Linked DNA regions of Elephas maximus indicus. The main gene of each other region encodes a partner of the protein of the gene in region 2 in a complex. Links are inferred from orthologs where the notes say so. Each region holds a gene or a part of one and is shown on either strand. Other genes may lie near its edges.

Region 1 (6,917 bases), on a different chromosome or scaffold from region 2:
ACCTGGCTTTCCCTTTCCCTTGATCAGTGTTTCTCCACAGGACTCGTCACTTTCTTCCTAGTGCATATTTTACTCATTTGTTGCATTTATTTTCTGTCTCCTCTCTCCTCACTAGGACATAAGCTACATTCTAGTTTTTATTTGTTCACTTCTGTATCCCCAGAGCCTAGGATAATGCCTGGCTGGGTAGGCATTCAAAAAATATTTGTTGAAAGAAAGAACGAACAAATTAATAAAAAGTTTTCCATAAATATTTGTTAAATTGATTTAAAAGATTTAAGATACAGATGACTGTGAAATTTCCAAATTCTTTACAAATATGGCAAAAAAAAAAAAAAAGACAGGGAATGGTGATATTGAGTGAAAGCTACCTCATTATAAACATCCTTGAGGAAGGATTAAAATTATGTATTTATGGTGGAAGGGGCAACCGGGCAAGGAAACATGCACCATCAGAGAAATATTTGGGGCTACGTAATTTCCTCGTGAGAGGGCTCCATCTGGGAGCAGGGCTAACACAGCCCCACCACCTCATTTTGACACTTGTCTACTCACAGGTGTTTTAAGTTATTTTGGTCTTTGCCTCACTCCTCAGAACATGAAAGACAGACATCTGGCCTTGGCTATGTGAGACTTCTCAGCTCTAACTAGGAAACCACCAGAAGTGAAAACAACAACAAAAACACCACACACGACTAGATCCTGGGTCTTGGGGAAGCAGAGCCCATTTCTGAGCAGTGTGAGTGGAACTCTTTTTTACTCAGGCTCCGCCTTTGCACTGTTTATCTGAAAAATTTCTCCCTGGCTTACTCTTCTGCAGCCACCTACTTTCCACAGGAGCATGGCGCTCTGATCTCCACGTTCTCTCTTCCCTCGGGGACTCCATAGTATTTTTTTCACGCTTCGCTGATACTACAGCAGACGCCTGCCTTCTCATTATTTGCTGTACAGATCTCCGGTGCCTTGACTGTAAACAAAACACTTTAGATCATAGCAAGGTCATGTAAGCACAGCCCTTCTGCTGGCAGCCAGACTTCTTAAGGTGGCTTCACCGTGGCTCGTTTATTTCTCAAGAGTAACAAAGCAACAAAATGGTGCTCCCACATAGTAACTGAAGATTCAGTGTGTAGGGGATAGAAGTATTCATTTTCTACTTTTATACAAAATGTTAATCCCATTATAAAATTAAACTTCTGTGACAAGCTAGTACTCTAGAATTTCTCCATTCATGTATGTAGTAGTTTGTAGTTATTATTCACATATACGCATACATAATATAAAATTCCTCTGTAGTCTAGCAGAGATTTAAGAATTTGGGCAAAAACACCTTATTTCAGGGCTAGGATATAAATTAAGGTCGTGAAATCTATCTTAACTTTCCTGCCCCCCTTCCTAACCTAACAACTTAGTGGGGCATTAAACGTAGACAATTAAAGAGGATGAGACCTCCTGCTTTGATCCTAGGTGAACTCTTTTCTGTCAGCCAGGTAGCAAGCCCTGACTTTGAAACCATTCTGTACACTGTATTCCCTCACTGCTCCCTGGGTGCCACCTCTGTCCTTTTGGAATCTGCGTTTAGTTGAACTAGTTGATAGTGATATTAAAGGCCAGTAATGGCAACATTTAAATATCAGTGACCACAGACCACGTCAAGGAAACATCTGCAAGCAGTCCCGGGCCTGGGAAGGAGCCGTTTTGAACCACGAGTAGGAAAGGAAGGCCTGTAGCACAAGCTAATCCAGACAAAAACTTGAACCAGTTGGAACCATCAGGAAGGAAAACCCACTGCCACCGAGTCTATTCTGACTCAGCAACCATATAGGACAGAGTAGAACTGCCCCATAGAGTTTCCAAGGAGTGCCTGGTAGATTTGAACTACTAACCTTTTGGTTAGCAGCCATAGCTCTTAACCACTACACCACCAGGGTTTCCATCAGGAAGGAAAGGAACAGAAAACGAATCAGATTGTGAGATAGGAGACCTGTGTCTAGTCCTGGCTCTGCTACCAACTGAATGTGTGTCCCTGGACAGGAAACTTTTCTGAGCCTCAATTTTCTCAGTGGTAAAACGAGAAGGTTGAACCACAGGGTCCCCAGGGACCCTCCCCACACTAACATTCCAGAGTGTATACAGAGGACAAATAAGACGTGGTTGTGAAAGCAAGTTAAAAATCAAACTCATCGATAGCATAGGTGCATGAGAACACATTGCTGCTGTGCAATGTTGGAACCAAACCAAAAACCCACTGCTGTGGAGTGATTCCGATTCATAGCGGCCCTGTGTTAGAAATGGAGGTTAATTTCCAGTAAAATTTATTTACTTTGGTCCAAGGAAGATTATGTGTATTGGGAGTGGGACTGGGAAGGCAGTTAAAGACCCACTGAGCTATGACAACCCTGCCCACCCAGTTTTAACTTCCACCACCGAGCTGAAGACCAAACTGACTGATATGTTTCAATTTGCAGAGCGGAGAGGAGAAATGACCTAATCACGTCAGGCATGAGGACATGGTTGTGGTGGTTTTATAAATCATTTCATAACATAGACTTTGATTCTTAGGGGAAATATTTTCACCTTTCAACAGCTTGCAGTCCTCTGAAAGCAGCCAGTTGCATCTGAACGTAGTTTGGGTGTGTTGGAGCAGGAAGCCGGTGGGAGAGAAAGGTGGAGGAAGGAAGGAGCTGTTGCCTTTGGCGACTGGACTCAGGTAGAGGAAACTACTACAACCCGTGAAAGAATTGAAAAGTATAAAGAGAAGGAGGCGAGTTCCCACACGCAGTCAATGTCAGTGGCCTTAAGTGTACTGGGGAAGCAAGAACCTGGGCCAAGGGTGTAACCTCGGTTTTCAAAACTAAATGTATCTGAAACGGCTACAAAGTTTAAGGGACTTGGGCAAGCAGTCGAGCTTTTGATCTTTAGATTCTTTTCCAATGCGTGAGAGCTTGGGTTCAGAACACAGTATGAAGGCTGCGCCTGGCTACCTTATAGAAAGACATTAGCCCTGGCTTTTCCCCTTAACTTCTGGGTTAAGCCTGAGCTAACCGTTGCCCACCCCCTGTGGCACTCTGACATGGAGGCAGGGATGGGGTGCGCGGGGAGGGGGGTGGTCCTGGCCCTCGGCAAAGGTTTCCTGACCTCCTCCGCAGAGCACGAGGTGGGGGCCACTGCCTCGAGCCCAGAAGAAGCCTCAGCTCGCACCATCTGCCTCCGCCCTCCACTCCCCCGCGCCTCCGGCTCGGCGAGTGCAGGGAAAACAAGATCGCCACCGAGGCTCAAAACGTTGAGAGGAGAGCAACATTACAGATCATCTGGTCCAGCCCCTTCGTTTCACCGGCCAGGAGCTGGAGGTCTGGGCTAACGAGCGGGCGGGCCAGCCAGCGCAGCGCGGGGACCAGTACCCATGGCCCCGCCTGCCCCGCCGCAGAGGCCCCTCCCCAGCTTCCCGGCCGTTTGGCTAGTTTGTTTGTCTTATTTTTAATTTCTCCGAGGCCAGCCAGAGCAGGTTTGCTGGCAGCAGTACACCTCCAGCAATCACGGGACCAGCCAATCTCCTCCTTGCGCTCTCGGAGTCGGCGCGCTCTGGAAGGCGGAGAGGCGGCGGAACCGCGCCGGGGCCACCTTAAGGCCGCGCTCGCCAGCCTCAGCTGGGCGGCTCCCGGCGCCGCAACCAATGGATCTCCTCCTCTGTTTAAATAGACTTGCGGTGTCAATCATTTTCTTCTTCGTCAGCCTCCCTTCCACCGCCATATTGGGCAACTAAAAAAAGGGGGCTCGCCTTTTCAGGGTGTTTTTCTCCCTTTCCCTTCTCCCCACTTTCTCTCCGCTCCGCGACTCTGACGCCGGCAAGGTTTGGAGAGCGGCTGGGTTCGCGGGACCCGCGGGCTAGCGGCAGCCGGGACTTGGCCTGGCCTTTCCGCCCCCTCCTCCTTCCTCCTCCCCTCCCCTCCCCGCCCTCCCGCTCGCCGGTACACTTGATCTGCGGAGACTTTCGGCTGCCTCTCCGGGGCTTCCCCTTACTCCCTCCCCCAGATCCAGCGCGCTCCTGAAGCTCGGGCACTTACTTGTTGGTGTTTGTTTCTCTTGGCTCCGAGGGCAGTCGCAGAGCTTCTAAAAGGGGGTTGGGTTGGGTCGGGGCGTTTTGTTTTGTTCGGTTTTGTTTTTTGAGAGAGCCAGAGAGGCGGTAGTAAAGACTCGAGAGGAAGATGTCAAACGTGCGAGTGTCTAACGGGAGCCCGAGCCTGGAGCGGATGGACGCCAGACAGGCGGAGTACCCTAAGCCCTCCGCCTGCAGAAACCTCTTCGGCCCGGTGAATCACGAAGAGTTAACTCGGGACTTGGAGAAGCACTGCAGAGACATGGAAGAGGCTAGCCAGCGCAAGTGGAATTTTGATTTTCAGAATCACAAGCCCCTGGAGGGGAAATACGAGTGGCAAGAGATGGAAAAGGGCAGCTTGCCCGAGTTTTACTACAGACCCCCGCGGCCCCCCAAAGGCGCATGCAAGGTACCGGCGCAAGAGAGCCAGGATGTCAACGGGAGCCGTCAGGCGGTGCCTTTAATAGGGTCTCAGGCAAACTCAGAGGACACACATTTGGTAGACCAAAAGACTGAAACATCAGACAGCCAGACGGGGTTAGCGGAGCAGTGCCCTGGGATACGGAAGAGACCTGCAACAGACGGTAATGACCTTTTCAAACGTATATGCCTGTCTGGGGCAGCGCTTTGCTTGCTTGAGGGTCTTAAATTTAGCTCTTTGTACCGTATTCTGATCTAGATTTTGGGAGCGAACTTTATTAATCCTGGGCTGTGAATGCTACCTGCTGACTGCTTGTTTGTTTACGCTTTTTAAACCAGAATCCAGCGATGGGGTAATATCTGATATTTTCACTAACTTAAAACATCGCAGTTCCTTTTCCAGCCTTAGTTATGTGACAATGTTGAGATGTTTATCAACGGCCTTCCTCTACCCTGTGGAGAGAGCGATTTGGGGCGTAGAATACACTTTTTGTTACGTGAAAACAATCTGATTTTGTGCACTTAAAGGGCACTGTGATGAAGGATCCAGGATTGTGGGTGGAGGTAGTGGGTTTTTCATTCCCTGACTATGGGGTCAACTTGTCTGAGCCATTGTTTTTTCTAATAAAGATTGTGTGTGTGCTTTTTTTTTTTTTTTTTTGGAATTTCCCCTTGTCCTTAGATTCTTCTACTCAAAACAAAAGAGCCAACAGAACAGAAGAAAATGTTTCAGAAGGGTCCCCAAACGCAGGCTCAGTGGAGCAGACGCCCAAGAAGCCGAGCCTCAGAAGACGTCAAACATAAACCGCTTGGTGGGTTGATTACTAAGAGCAAACAACTGACACCCGAATGGGGCTGCAGGAACCCTGTGGGTCAGAAAACCCCAAGATACCTGATCTTCCTGGTTGCTGGCAGATAAGGAGCTCGTGGGTGTTTGTTTTTATTTTGTGAGGTCAAAAAAGTAGGAATGGGGAAACGTGGGGAATCACTGTGGGAATACTGTAATTCTTCAAAATCTACGTCCTGAGATAATTTTCCCTTAACACACTATACAGCTAGAACAAGTGTGCTAGGCAAGTACTTGTAGCCAAGACCCCATGAGTAGGAAGGTTATTTCCTTGTGAGTCCCACCAAAACATGCTGGGAACAATAGGTTCTTTCCTCATCTGAGTGAGAACTGGGGTAAGCCTCAGTCCCACTTCATGAGGACTCATTTCCCAGAGGTTCAGGTTGAGTCACTAACAGATTTTGAGGCCATACATTCAATGATTGGCTTTCAAATTTGAGGGGGGAAGTTAGGTACAAAAAGCTCACATTTGGTTAATCAAGTGATTAGAAATGTGAATAGGGTGGAATGTTGTGTTCTTTTCTTTTTACTGTTTTCATAGACTATCACTTATCATTATCTGGTTTCTGATAAATTTGGGGGAGAGAAGGAGCCTGCATATTTTTAAAAAAAAATCCCTAGTGAAAGCTCAAAAATACTAAAGTTCCTGTAGAATTCTGGTAACACCAAAGTTGCAAAGCAGAAGTTAAATGAACTCTGCCAGGGTAAGCAATCCAGGAACACGTCAGCATGTGTATGCTAATCATGCTATAACAGGACAATGTAGATATTTGTAGGGGAAATGGGTAGTACAGATCAGGGCTTGCCAAGGGTAGGTCTACCAGGCACAAGAGAAGTGGAGATTTTTCCATTTACTAAAATTTGATCACCATGTATAGCTAATTTGAATACTTTAGCACTCAAGTGGATTGGCTGTGCCTGATAATCAAACTGCATGTATTCTAGTAGTTTACAGGCTTCTTAAAAACGAGGACTGTTAACCCTTTTTTTTTTCCTCCAAAAAGCACACTTAAAGCCTAGCATTTAAAAAGATCATAGTAGATGTTGATATTAACTTTTTAAATCCTAGTTTATAAAATTTTTAAAATAAATTCCCACAAGGATTAAAGCGGGGTTCAGGTTTGTTGTGTTTTTAAAACATTATAATGTCATATGTATGACTTTTCCACACATGTATATATTTTTAGAGCTTATACAAAATGGCACTATAAAATCTCTCTATTATATACAGTTCTGTATGAAGTAGGAAAATTTTTCTTGAAGCAACCTTAACACATACAGCTCTTTTTGGTTTGTGACTTGTGGCTTTGCTCATTACATGAGCCGCTGTGAATCAGAACTACTGAATTCTGACCACATTCTGACATGCAGAGAGACATTCGTTAGTAAATGTTGCCAATTTAAAGAATCCTAGGAGTAGTAGTAAGGTCTGTTCAAAAGCATGTATGTGTATATTCTGTCTGTAAATAAGAGAATATTTATTTGTTCCTGAGTTTTTAAAAAAGATACTGATTGAATTTTCATTTGAAGGGCCTTTATAAATTATATTTAGTTTTT
Region 2 (7,415 bases):
AATGCAGAAAGCCCTGAAAAACAAAGCTTTTTTCATGAACCATTTGACAGCAAAATCTGACATGATCTGAATTTATTTAATGACAAAACCTGACTTAAACTGACATGAAGCTAAGTATAAAAGTCTTCATTTATTCCACTGTCTTACTTAGTATTGCTGTAACAGAAATACCACAAGCAGGTAGCATTGAAGAACAGATATTTATTTAAATTTAGTTTAAATTTAAACTTTTAGTTCTGGAGGCTAAAAGTCCAAATCAAGACCTCAGCCATAGGGATTCCTTCCTTATAGGTAATCCCTAGCCTTCCTTGGTCTTGGCTTATAGGTGGCCCTCACTGGTGTCTGTCTGGCTTCCTACCACCGCCCCCCCCCACCATGTGCACACATCTGTGTCTAATCTACTCTTTTTAAAACTCAGCTGTGATTAGGTTTAGGATACACTCTACATTGATGTGGTTTCATTAACATACAAGGAACCCTATTTTCAAACAGGATTACATCCACCGGGCATAAAGGGTTAGGATGACAACAGGTATTTTGGGTAGACACGATTCAATCTATAACACACTTAGTGTGATTATTCACCCATATATTTTGGTGTAGAAATATCATGTTTTGTTACCAGATGCTGCCATTTGCTCATAATACTTTGGGGGTATTTTGTTATATATGGTATATGTCTTCTGTTATCTTCCTAAAATATGAAAAATTCTGAAACACATCTGGCATCAAGGGTTTTGGATATATAATTGACAGCTCGAATTATTACCATTTCACATGTGAGGAAACTCAAAGGTGAAATAATTTGCCCAGACCTTTGAACCCTAAAACTATTTATTTGCCTTCTAGTCAAATCCCAAGAATAGTCAACACAGAAATGGAATGTCTTAATTTAGATAAAGCTATTAAGAACAGAATCTGCCTACACTATTTCAAAATGGTCTTCTTAGTGGGAAAAATAAACCACTTTCATGATGTTATATATACTAGTATCAGTTCAGAAATAGCATTTGATTGTCTGAAATTAATATCTTTTAACCAGTTGTTAAAGATGTTTATTAGCTAATTAGCTAATTTATGTCCTGAAACTGGCCTTAAAATTCCCCCAAAATACATATATTTTTATAAGCATCGAACCTTCTAAAAAGGTTTGTGTATATTAAATAATGAAATTACAGGTACTTAGAAATGGATTCTCAAGCACTTACTTTCATTAAATTGTTTCATTAAAAGGAACTAATTGATGACAGTAAATTCACGTTGTTCTTTCTAGGCATGATCACTGATCTTTTCATAGATAAGTTCAAATTCAAAGGCACCAATGTGAAAACCAAAGTACCTCTTCTTCTGGAGATTCTGGACAGTTATGACCAAAATGCATTGATTGCTTTCTTTGATGCTGCTTGAAATATAATCAAGGTAAAGTCCCAAAGAAGTGGTCTGTTTAAAAGGAAAATACTAACATAGAATTATAAACTAAATGTATATACTTTTATTTCAAATGCTTTTTGATGACATCTAAAAATATTTCAGATATGACTTTAAATAATGCTTCTATTTGCTTTGATGGTAGAACTTTTTAAAAATAAAGAGAATTTTTATATTTAAAACAAGTGGATGACCGTTTTGATCAGGGTCACAATAGATGGTCCCAGCTAGAATGGGAGAAAAATGTGGAGCAGAACTCAAATTCTTATTTTAAAAAAAGCCAGACAAACTGGAACAGTGGAGAGCAGAGGACTCCCTGAGATTATCACCCTGAGACACTCTTTAAACCTAGAACAGAGCCTATCCCGAGATCACCCTTTAGTGAAATAGCAGAGTGGCACACAAAGGATATTACATAAGATTGCTGCTCTACTTAAAAACCATCAGAATGAGATTAAAAGGTCAACAATTACACAAAACTAAGACGGGAAGATAAGGGGCCAGGGAAACTAGAGTACTGGAAATAGAACAAACAGAACACAAAGAATATTAGCGTTATGATAAATGTAACTAATGTCACTGAACAATTTGTGCGGAAATTATCAAAATGGGAACCTAACTTGCTGTATAAACTTTCACTGAAACTCAAGTATTAAAAAAAAAAAAAAAGTGGAGTAAGTACAAGGGATTTTAATGCATTTTTAGTAATTAGATGTTTTGATTTTTAAATAGAGAAATATTTGGAAAATCAAAATATATTCAAATGTTTTACAAGCTACCAAAACCAAAAACCACTTTCATTGCCGTCAAGTCCATTCCGACTCATAGCGACCCTATAGGACAGAGTAGAACTGCCCCATAACGTTTCCAAGGAGCACCTGGTGGATTCGAACTGCCAACCTTTTGGTTAGCAGCCATAGCTCTTAACCACTACACCACCAGGGTTTCCTTACTAGCCACCCACCCACCCACCCACCCACACCCACCCACACCCACACACATACATTTATGTGTAAACTGCTTTACAGTTTTCAGAATGCATTTGCGTACCTTACCTCATATCATCTTCGCATCAGTCCTGTAAGTTTGTCAAAGCTTGTAAGAAAACCAATTGTTGGTGAGGTTAAGTGACATGAGGTTAAGAGGACATGCTATTAATTTGTAAAGCTGGGACCAGAACCCAGTTTCTGGCACCTGCTTTGTGTCCCAATTACAATGTATGTTGTCAACAAGCGGAAATAAACTACCAGTTATTTTTTGTAGGAGCTGAGATTGCTTTATAGTGATTTCTGTCTTGTTCGGTAACATTTTGTGACCCATGCTGCAGCTTGTAAAATGCCTTAGTTGTCTCAGTGCTGTAAATTTCGGTCAGGGAAATGAGCAGCTTACACAGATGAGAGAGATCTTAACTACAAGTGCTGTGAGCAGTCAAGCTATACAAGTTGCAACACAGGAGGAGTGCAAAAATAGTGATAGCTTCTTGGATTTTCCTGCACTAGTATCACTAGTTTCCTTTTTATCCTATATGAAACGAAAATATTTTAAGAACACAGTTTTTTTGTTCATTAATCTTAATGTAAATTTATTCATTTTCAGGGGAATATTGTCAATATGAGTTGGAATTGATGGCAATGAGTTTGGTTTTATTTTATTTAACAGTCTGCTTTAAAAGGACAGATTATAATGGTAAAAAGGCTATTTTTCTGTTTTCAAGAAGTGTAGACTCATGAATTTGTCAGAAAACAATGCTTCTGAATTACATACCATTATATTTATTAGTTATGTGGAAGTCTTGTATATTAAATATGAGAATTTGTTAAAGGCACATATTATAGCTAAGACAGTTTTGTTTTAGTAAGGCCATTGTTTTTATTAAACAGTTTTCATTTCTAAATGGAACATCCAGGTCACTAGAATTTCATTGTTTTTTTGTTGGCTGCTTCTATATAAAAGGCTACTGGTTGGGGAAAAGTGTATAAGCATTAATGACTGTCCAGTCGAATTTCTTGTAGTACATTATTACTTGTTATATGTATCAGTAGTTCAAGACGGCACAGTAAATTGTATTTTCTTGGAAAAAATAAAAAGCATAAGACACAGTTCTGCCTACTGTGAATAAACACCGCGTCCTAACATGACATTATATCCTGCCACTTGAGTATTACTATGTGCACAGTGTTACATAATTTATGCACAGTATTTCATTTAATCCTAACGACAGTCCTATGCCGTGTAGGTATTACTTCCAATAAACACATAAGAAAACTGAGACTGGAGACATTTAATAATTTGACCAAGATTACCTGGCCAGTAAGTGGCCAAGTCAAATCTTGAACCTCGGGAAACAAGTCAGCCACGTTAACTGGAGGTCCCAGGGCTAAAGGCTGGGACGGCCCCCTAGTAATTGCTACAGTTTAACTCAGTTAATTTTAGAATGCATATAGACAGCCTTTAGCCTTGCGCACAGAGACCTCCCAGTGGTGCGGTTTAAAGTCATCAGAAACTCAGGTCTCCCCCGCTCCCGCCTTCACCGCGCAGGCGTTTTTCCTCCCGCGGCGGTTCGACGTTTCTCCGCTCCACCCCTGCTCAGTTGCCATCACTGCCGCCTGCGCTGACTGCGACTTTGTCGCCCTAGTGACGTCACGGGCCTCTGCGGCTCTCATTGGTCCATTTCAATAGTCGCGGGATACTTGAACTGCATGAACAGCCGCCGCTCCGGCGGGCTGTTCGCTTTATCTCGGGGCGTTCTAGGTCCTTGGTACTCCACGCCCGACAGTGCCTGCCTGCTCCTTTCGCAGCCTCCTCCGCCCCGCACAGCCCCTGCCAGGTGAGCGGGCAGGTGGGCAGGCTGGCCCCGACTGCGGCGAGCGGCGGCAGCTACAGCATTCCTCGGCTGAGTCTGCGCGCGGGTCAGCGGGGCGGAGTGCACGCTGCTTGGCGCCGGAGGCTGATCCCGCCGCCTGCCCCGGGGAGCAGTGATGTTGGGCAACTCTGCACCAGGGCCTGCGGCCCACGAGGCGGGCTCGGCGCTGCTAACACTACAGCAGACGGCCCTCCGAGAGGACCAGGAGAACATCGACCCCGAAAAAGCGGAGCCCGCCCAGCAGCCCCGGACTCGAGCCGGGCTGGCGGTACTCAAGGCGGGGAACCCACGGGGTCCAGCGCCGCAGCAGAGACCCAAGACGCGACGGGTAAGGAAGGACACGCGAGGTATCTGTCGGAGGGTGGGCCAGGCGAGGGTCGAGCATGGGCTTAGCAGGCAGAAGAGGGTGACGAGTAAGCATTCTTTGGGTATTTTAGGAGGGCGCGAGTCTGGAGTCCCCTTGGTCACAGATTTTCCGCTTTGTGGGATGCCACGGTGGTAGATTCTCTCATTCATTTTAGCATATGACCCCCGCCAACACTGCATGTGCTACTTATCTCCTATCTATTGGGGTCATCTTTGTAGATTTTGGGGTCAGACCAAGCCCTACAACGCGAATGTCGTCATTGCCCAGCTCATGCTTTCGCTTGTCTTTTAACCCCAGGCATTACTCTGCTCCGGGGCGAAGCAACCAGGTCTCTCCTTCCCCTCCCCATCTGGTTAAGAGAATGCTTCTACTTTAGAAAAGGGTACAAGAAAATACTTTTGGTAAATCCCGCCATTTTAGCCGGATTTGCTGTTTGCTCCACCCTAGTGTCAACTCTGCCTGTGACAAATTTTTACATCCCTTCTCTCTTTGACTACTCAAACTATTCTTGCCTGGACTTTTCCCTAGTTTAATTTTCCTGGTAGATATTTGAGAGTGAAAGCACAAGCTGAGATCCTTAAGGGGAAAAAGGCAAAGCTCCATTTAACAGGCTCAAAGACAGTTCTTTCTTTCTAGGTTGCACCTCTTAAGGATATTCCTGTAAATGATGAGCGTGTCACTGTTGCTCCATGGAAGGCAAACAGTAAACAGCCTGCATTCACCATTCATGTGGATGAAGAAGAAGAAAAGACTCAGAAGAGACCAGCTGAATCTAAAAAATCGGCGTGTGAAGATGCCCTGGCTTTTAACTCAGCTGTTACTTTACCTGGAACAAGAAAACCGCTGGGGTCTCTCGATTATCCAATGGATGGTAGTTTCGGTAAGTTTTAAAGAGATCTGTATGAATCAAGGTAGTATAATTATTAAATAGACTAGATTTTATATTTTAAAACATTATCTTACCTGATCATTACTACATAGTTAGCTTTAATGTAACAGGCTTAGAAATGGTGTGACTTGTCCCAAATATCACACCAAATACATGACCTAGTGACCTACAAAAGGACCCAAGTCCTAATCAGGTGTTCCTTCCAGTACGCTACCAATCAGTTTAATTACATTTCAGTCACATAGTCTGACCCTGGAAATGTTTGCTTGGTTGGGAGAATAGATTTCAGTTGCAGTCATAAGAAACCAAAAAAAAAAAAAACCAAACCCACTGCCGTCAAGTCGATTTCTGACTCTTAGCGACCCTATAGGACAGAGAAGAACTGTCCCATAGAGTTTCCAAGGAGTGGATTGCCTCCCATGGAGCTTCCAAGGAAGGCATGGTGGATTCAAACTGCCTACCTCTTGGTTAGCAGCTGTAGTACTTAACTACTACGCCACCAGGGCAGTGACTCGATTCATACGTACCACTTGAGAGAGTGCTGTGTGAGAGTGCAGTCTTAAATACTGTGTTGTCTGACATCTTTTCCAGCTCTGAAATTTTGTGTTGCTGTAACACCAGTCTGAGTAATCATCAGATACCAGAAAGGCACATTGTCTTCTTGTGTGTCAGTAGTTGTACCATGCCTGTTTGCACTTACCCACATACAAAATGGAGTAGCTTCATCAGACAGCTCTGTCTACAGTTTGTAGTGTTTCTTTTCTGCAGGGTTATTGAGTTACTGGATAGGTCATTGAATATAATCTCATTTTAGTTGTGGTTCTATTGATTAGGGAAGGGAGTGGGAAGTCCTTTGGAAATAATCTGTGTATTTTTATTTAAGATTTGTAACAATTTCTTACCTCAGAATGATCCTTGAAGTTGAAAAGAGTAATGGATGATATTCTTTGCCTCAAAAGATAATTTGAATTACAAAAAAAATCAATCATTTGTTGATTGTCATGTTAATCCACCTGTTTGAAGTACCCATAACAATCCTAATTTCCTTATTAACACACTTGTTAATGAACGCCATTTAGTCTTGCTTCTAGTTATTACCTTATCGTACTTTGAATATATCAGATTCAGGTTAGCAATCTCTTTTGGCAAATCCATGTACTTTTGTCATGAGAAGCCCTTTTACTTGGATGAAATGTTTTGGTAACATAGCATTCTTGACAAGGGCAGTCACTTTTAGCTATTAAATAGAAGATTAAACAATTAATCATATCTTTTGAATTCCTCCAGAGTCACCACATACTATGGACATATCAGTTGTATTAGAAGATGAAAAACCAGTGAATGTTAACGAAGTACCAGACTATCATGAAGACATTCACACATACCTTAGGGAGATGGAGGTAAAAGCTCTCTTGAGTGCAGTCGTATACTGTTAATCACTGCATGTGGCTAAATGAAATGGAGAGGTTAATTAGTGTTTTAACTGCTAGTGAACTACTGTAAGGTATATTTAACAGTATACTAACTTTTCTCAACAGGTTAAATGTAAGCCTAAAGTGGGTTATATGAAGAAACAACCAGACATCACTAACAGTATGAGGGCTATCCTTGTGGACTGGTTAGTTGAAGTAGGAGAAGAATATAAACTACAGAATGAGACCCTGTATTTGGCTGTGAACTACATTGATAGGTTCCTTTCATCGATGTCCGTATTGAGAGGAAAACTTCAGCTTGTGGGCACTGCTGCTATGCTCCTAGCCTCGTAAGTCCATTTTGGTTTTTTGGAATAAAAGTGATGGCTACCTCTCTGCGTAGGGAAAAAATGTGATTTTTAACAGTGTGGCATTCTGACATACTACACGAGTCAG

Evidence for each region. The genes of interacting proteins can lie anywhere in the genome.
Region 1: the proteins of CCNA2 (region 2) and CDKN1B are in contact, whole or in part, in a crystal structure (PDB 1JSU), measured with the Homo sapiens proteins. The link is inferred for Elephas maximus indicus from reciprocal best matches to the Homo sapiens genes CCNA2 and CDKN1B. Residues at the interface, in NP_001228.2 of Homo sapiens: Met210, Ile213, Leu214, Asp216, Trp217, Glu220, Val221, Glu224, Met246, Arg250, Gly251, Lys252, Leu253, Gln254, Leu255, Tyr280, Ile281, Thr282, Asp283, Thr285, Tyr286, Thr287, Gln290, Arg293, Met294, His296, Leu297, Lys300; in NP_004055.1 of Homo sapiens: Lys25, Pro26, Ser27, Ala28, Cys29, Arg30, Asn31, Leu32, Phe33, Gly34, Val36, His38, Leu41, Thr42, Asp44, Leu45, Glu46, His48, Cys49, Asp51.

Annotation. Positions count from the first base shown.
Region 1 is NC_064822.1:71,307,784-71,314,700, forward strand, and holds the start of CDKN1B (cyclin-dependent kinase inhibitor 1B), read left to right. Parts: upstream 1-3,905; 5' UTR 3,906-4,202; coding exon 4,203-4,677; intron 4,678-5,195; coding exon 5,196-5,317; 3' UTR 5,318-5,325; intron 5,326-6,917. UniProt on the Homo sapiens protein: Important regulator of cell cycle progression. Inhibits the kinase activity of CDK2 bound to cyclin A, but has little inhibitory activity on CDK2 bound to SPDYA. Involved in G1 arrest. Potent inhibitor of cyclin E- and cyclin A-CDK2 complexes.
Region 2 is NC_064823.1:25,383,315-25,390,729, forward strand, and holds the start of CCNA2 (cyclin-A2), read left to right. Parts: upstream 1-4,406; coding exon 4,407-4,619; intron 4,620-5,294; coding exon 5,295-5,538; intron 5,539-6,834; coding exon 6,835-6,947; intron 6,948-7,085; coding exon 7,086-7,309; intron 7,310-7,415. Other genes in the region: BBS7 (Bardet-Biedl syndrome 7 protein), read left to right, coding at 1,274-1,407. UniProt on the Homo sapiens protein: Cyclin which controls both the G1/S and the G2/M transition phases of the cell cycle. Functions through the formation of specific serine/threonine protein kinase holoenzyme complexes with the cyclin-dependent protein kinases CDK1 or CDK2.